2 separate regions of the Mus musculus genome follow, and region 2 is reported to be linked to region 1. The links are microRNA targets in miRTarBase. Many come from high-throughput screens and were not tested one by one. Region 1 holds a microRNA gene; the other region holds the end of a gene's coding sequence.

Region 1 (3,150 bases):
GTGAGCTACAACGTGGAGAATCTATCTCTTTCTTCCTCTTCCCTCCCACCTTGATCCCCACCCACAAGGAAACTGGAGACACATGGAAATTATACAGAGTAGCGAGTGGGCAGACTGACTGACCAGGAGAGCATTAGCATACAAGAGTCCCTTAAGAAAAAAAAGCAATTAAGTTTCCAAAGGTCTTTTTTTTTTCCCCCCCTGTTGTTGTTTGTTTCCTTAAAAAACAAAAAACAAAAACAAAACAGAACCACTAGCACTAACCCGACAGCTGACTGGTCCAGACAGTACTACACGCCATGGGGGAGGTGAGAAGGGCAGGCAAGTGGGGGCAGGTGAGGAGGGAGGGCCGGTCAAAGACTTCATAAATAAGAGCGGGTCCCAGACCCACAATTTGTCAACGTTTCTTAAATAGGTGCGTTATTTAAATCTTATGTACAACAAGAACCACTTTGCATAGCGATGGTGGGAGACACAGGACGATGGGGTGACATGACATTCCTGTCCCAATGGTAGGGGCGAGATCTCGGCTCGGTGCACCTCCAGGAAGAAAGCGTCCTCCTTCTGGCCCGAGTGGACAGCATCAGGCTGGATGAATGCCCTCCCCCCGCCCCCCCCTACGGTATCACACAACAAAAGGCAAAGAAAATCCACAAAGGGAACCCCCCCACCCCTCCCCTGCCCTCCCTACCCGCAGTTCTTCCTCTTGTTGCCACCAAGGCTGCTTTTGATCAAGGTCAAAGGTTCCAATATGAAGCTCTAAGAATTAGGTGGGGGCTGGGCGTGCCGAGGATTCCCCACCCGTCCCCCCTCCGCCCCCCCAAGACTCCCCCATCTATCCCGCAGCCAGGTGCTGGGACCACCCCGGGACCCACTGCTCTGCTCTACGGCTATTAGTCAAGAGTCGGGTTTTTTTTTGTTTGTTTGTTTGTTTCTTTTTTTGTTTTTGTTTCTTTTTTGTTTTGTTTTGTGCGAGCCCATCCTGTGCACAGAGGGGGCTTCACCAGGCTTCCGTGTAGCGAACATCAACCTCCTTTAGGTTAGGAAGCTTGGCCTGTGGATGATAAAAAAAGTACCTGGTCAAATACCAGCCAGCGTCTCCTACCACCCACACCCTGTCCACTATGAGGCTGTGGGATCTCAGGGCTCTGGAAGGGGTTGGGCTGGTGACCCAGGGCACAGGTGGCCTCAAAGACATCCATCACCCAGAGTAGATACAATTTTAATTGCCTTCTGAAATTGGACGACACATCTGATGTCCTGAGGCTTGTTTTCTCGTGATCACAGCTAAACTGAGCCCTGTCTCTGGCTCCCAGGTGGCATTTAGGGTTAACCGTAGCATTCTGGGAAAGCTCCCGAGCGCCACGAAATCAGACGGGACTTCCATAGGTCCCTTCCCATTGCTAACAGAATAGTCAGAGGGGGTGAGGGATCAGAACACACCAGCAGCCAGCTTGGACTCCACTTAGCTTCCTCTATCCTTAAACCTCAGTATGGTTTCTTTCACCTGATAACTTTTATTACATTTGTTTATTTGAGACAGAGCTTCATGCAGCCCAGGCTGGCCTCAAACAGGTATGAAGCTAAAGATGACCCCTCACTTCTAATCCTTCTGTCTTCAGCTCCGAGTGATGGAGCATGCATTACCTCATCGGGTTTATATGGTACTGGGTGTGGGACAAAGGCCAATCAACTTGCAAGACTCTTCTTAGCTCCTCCTTTTTGTTCCCGCTGGTAGACTAGCCTCTCAACAGCTGGCTCATTCCTTCACTGTATAGTGCTGCCTGGAACTCATTAATGGCTTCCTGCCTCTATTTCCTGTCTTCCTAACATGCCTGTGTACCTACCAGTACCATTCAATAATATGCATGCATCTCCATGCATACATGTACACACACACACACACACACACACACACACACACACACACACGGCGGGGTGGGGGGAGGGGGAAAACAAGCATTAATCTTTTAAAAAAAGACAGTAGGAACTAGACAGATCAGCCATTGCTGCCAGCACCCACGTCAGATGGCTCTCAACCACCTATAACTCCAGCCCCATAGAATCTGTCTGCCCTCTGAGTGTACCCCCACACATGTGGCGCCCTCTCTCTCCCTCTCTCCCTTTCTCTCTCTCTCTGAAAAGAAACAAAGGAAAGTGAGTTTTCCTCATAAGCAGCCTCTCCCACTTGATTCTTGGGGCTCTGGGGTTTTGGGGGAATTTGAGTGCAGGATACCCCGAGAGCTATGCTTCTTAAACTGCCCAGGTACCTGTGGTGTGTTTGTGTGTAAATGCACAGATGTAGCTAGGCGTGTGTCCTGGGGCCACATTTCTTCCAAACCTGGCCCAAATGCTGTGAGCACTGGTCTGCAGAGTCATCTTAAGTGTGCCTAGCTCTACAGGGGTGGGCCCCACTGCTGCCCCCTAAGTCCTGTGTCCTCTGGGATTCAGGGACTTCTCTGGTGACAAATCATGGCAGCTGCTGTTTGGTACAGAGAGACTGGGCTGGCCTGCATAGTGAACCATCAACGCACAGAGCGGGTGGCCTCAGAGACACCGGAAGTGGTATAAGTCTGTCCACTGGGCTCAGCGGGTGTTAGGTCTAGGCTTGAATCAGAGAGTAAGCCCAGCTATGGGAAGTCCAAAGACAGCAGTTGGTAGTAGCTGCAGGGCCACTGGGAGACCTCAGTGAAGGAGGACCCTGACCAAGGGCTTATGGGGACCCTCTGACAGGGGCTTCTGGGATGCTACTGTGTCTCGGGGATCCAAAGCAAAACGTGCTGAAGGCCCTGCCTCCACCTCCCTAAGAAGCACGTGTCCTCTGATGGATGATGACACATGCCTGCTGCCACATATATGCTCTCCTCTCTGCCCCAGCCTAGTGGACACACAGCCTGCTTCTACCCTGACTCCTGCTCCCACAGTCCATCTTCCAGACAGCTAAGGTCTTAAAACTAGGACGTGGTACCCCCTCCTCCAAGAGCCCCCAGGATTGTTCCTGACACTGGATAAAACCTAGTCCTTCTGTGACCATGAGGACTTCTATCAGTTCTCACTTTCCAGCCAGGCTCGCTACGGCCAGGGCCTGCCTATCTTCTCTGCTTCAGAGCCTTTGCTTAGATATACCAACCCCCCCTCTCACTCTGGATA
Region 2 (3,000 bases), not on the chromosome of region 1:
GGGGTGATGGAGAAGAGAAGAAGCACAAAGAAGACAAGGAGGACAGACGACACAGAGATGACAAAAAAGAGTCCAAGAAAAAACACAGCAGAAGCAGGAGCAGAGAGAGGAAACACAGGAGCAGGAGCAGAAACGCAGGGAAGCGGAGCAGGAGCAGGAGCAAGGACAAGTCAAGCAGACATAAAAACGAAAGCAAGGAGAAGGCAAATAAAAGAAGCAGAAGTGGCAGTCAAGGAAGAACTGGCAGTGTTGAAAAGAGAAAACGAGAACACAGCCCTAGCAGAGAGAAGTCTAGAAAGCGCAGCAGGAGCCAAGACCGTTCCCACAAGAGAGAGCATAATGATAGCAAGGACCAGTCAGACAGACAGGATCATCAGAGCAGCCAGAGTGGAGAGCCAGAGAGCCAAGAAAAGGAACACAAAAGCAAAGATGAGACTGTGTGAAGATTGTGTAAACTTGGATCACATTGAATCCTATAAATGTTGATTAAATTCTGCTTTTTTCCCCCCAAGTTGAGATTGTGCAGTAGTTATGCACTCTGAGCTCCCCGTAGGCTGTGTTTTCTTTTGTGTAGGGAAGTGCCTTTGTAATCCCATTACGCATTGATGTTTTCACCCTGTTGAGTTGACACATGATGCACAGAATGTTCTTGCATTTTTGTTTGTTTTTAAAATGTACAGTCTGTACATACGTCCTGGAAAATGTTTTAATTCCTTTGGCATGGTTGCCATGTTGGTTAAATTTGTATAAGGCAATAAACTGCCACTAATTCTATTTTTGTTTTGTAGGTGTGAGATTATGGTTGTGTACTGAAGTTAGCATGGCTGTGCTTTTCATAATAGAATGCTAAAGACTTTGGGAATGGATCTTGGATGTTTGTTTAGGAGAATTATGTGTTTTTCAGTATACATGGAGGCAACAGTTGGAGGGTTAACATTCTTGTCCACTGTATATTACCTTGGAAGCTCTTGTTAATATGTTGTTATTCTCCACAGTTAATGTTCGAGAGAATTTTTAAGAGGTTTAAATTAGGCTTAGATTTGATCAGAAGTCCTTTTAGCATTCTACCTCAAAGGGACACTGTTAGTATGCCTAAAATTTATTACTTTCCTTTTTACAATGTGCTTCCCCCTCCCTCTTGAATTCTTTCTCAGACTTTAAAAGTACTATATTAAAGTGTGTAAGCCTGGCGTTGTAGCAGCCCTATACTAAGGAGTGATTGGGAGAGGGCGGGGCGCAGGAGCAGGCGAGGGCGGGGCGCAGGAGCAGAGGAGCAGTCAAGCCTAAGCTTCCAAAGCATTTTATAATGGAGAATACTTAAATTATGAAACAGCTTGATATAGTATCCTTTTTTAAGAATTTAAAACTTTTTTTATTGATAATGAAGATTGCTGTTTGAGTTTTTAAACTTAATCTAGGACAGAAATATTACCAGTAATGCAGTGCTGCGTTATTTAAGACTATCAGCAAATTATTTGATAGATTGTTCTTATGACTTGTATTCTGATTTCAGAAAACCATCATGAGTGTGGAATAAATACTGGATTAAATCCTTTATCCTGGGTGTTGGTTTCCCCCCCCCCCCATTTGTTAACATTTAAAGAAAATTGTGGGAACTGATAAAATGTCAGCAGTTTTCTGTAGAGGAGATCTTGAGCAAAAGTGACTATTTAAAAAGAACACATTGCTCAGCCTGTAAAGGTGCTTCCCACCCAGCCAGACCTGAGTTCACCCCTGGGCTGGGAGGAGAAGGCTGGCAACAATACTATCTCATGGTGTACACATGTACCCCTGGAAACAGTCTCTTAATCCTTGTAGGTTGGAAGGAGATACGCTATGCTGGTACTTACTAGACTCTTAATAGCAGTTTCCCTTTTAGGGGAAGGAGTGGTTTTGTTGTTTTGTTTTTGTTGCAGGGGCTCTTCTGTCCACATCAAAGCTGATAGTTGAAATTGTACTTGAACAGTATTAATACCATTTAAAGTTTGGTTTTGAAAGTTTTAAGACATGTATTCAGGACAAAATAAAAAGAGAGAGAGAGAGAGGACCAAAGTGGTTAGTTATTGGTATTAGCATTATGGTTTTGGGTTTGTGTTGACCAATCAGGCATTTCATTGAAGAGCCCACAGGGGGCGTTTGTACCACTTGTAAGAAAGATCTCTAAGTGAAATGCTCCGGTTAAAATGCTGTACTTTTAGAACTCTAGTCCTATTTCAAATTGACAACTAGTCTGTTACAACTAGTAGTACAGATGTAACTATTATTCAGCAAAGTAGTTAAGTGAGTGCTGCCAGGTCTTGACTTTTGGAGTCCACATAGTGAAGAGGGGCCTGCATGGTGTCCTCTGGGCACACCTACACTGTTGCTGTCACATACTCAGACAGAATTTTAAGGAAATTGGGAAGCCATTAAGTGTAATTAATAACTCAGTTTTATGTTCAGTTGATTTTTTCCCCCTTAAAGTATCTAACCCTGGCTACATGATAGGCAGATGTTCTCTGAGCCATGTTCTCAGCCTTTGAGCATACCATTACTACATTGGAAGTGTTCAGTAGCGTAAGCAGACTATAGAGTGGCTTCCTGTGGCGGACGAGATTCATTGGTCATTTCTTAGACACTAAGGAATGCTTTTTTTAGTAAAGTAGAGATCTGGGCGTAAGAGTGCAGGTCTTTAATCCTGGAAAGGTAGAGGCAGGCATAAATTCCTAAGGGAATTGATAGTGCTATTGATCTTCAAGTATCTATAGCCCTTCAATCCGTAAGATTTGTTTTTCGTATGGTATGTGCAGGTGCTTCTAACCTGAGGCCAGAGTCATTGGTTCCCCCAGGGCTGGACTTTTCACTCTTGTGGCTGGCCCTGTTCCCTTAGTATCTAAATCTTCCCTGAGCAAAACAATTTGCCCACTCTCAGCACTCCTTAGATGTCTGTAGTTCTTCATCATTTCTTCAATCATTGTTTTCCAAGCCACTGTTTCTCCCTCTGTCTAAACCTCTTCCCTG

What was found. The annotated mature microRNA mmu-miR-7078-3p reads UACUUUUUUUAUCAUCCACAG and lies in region 1 at 1,055-1,075, opposite strand. An mRNA with a match to its seed (bases 2 to 7 or 8) in the 3' UTR can be bound and repressed. Matches are read on the target gene's strand: a 7mer-m8 pairs with bases 2 to 8, a 7mer-A1 pairs with bases 2 to 7 and ends in A, and an 8mer does both.
Region 2: the mRNA of Prpf38b is a reported target of mmu-miR-7078-3p. Seed matches in the 3' UTR shown: 7mer-A1 at 1,160-1,166.

Annotation. Positions count from the first base shown.
Region 1 is chr8:117,457,233-117,460,382 of GRCm38, reverse strand. Mir7078 (microRNA 7078) reads right to left here and starts at 1,118; the gene lies at 1,055-1,118. Cmip (c-Maf inducing protein) reads right to left here. Exons shown (of 21, transcript NM_001163262.1): 21 at 1-1,054. The coding sequence ends at 1,001.
Region 2 is chr3:108,901,362-108,904,361 of GRCm38, reverse strand. Prpf38b (PRP38 pre-mRNA processing factor 38 (yeast) domain containing B) reads left to right here. Exons shown (of 6, transcript NM_025845.3): 6 at 1-1,557. The coding sequence ends at 443. Among named protein-coding and RNA genes, the nearest start is that of Prpf38b, 8.9 kb to the left of the region's middle.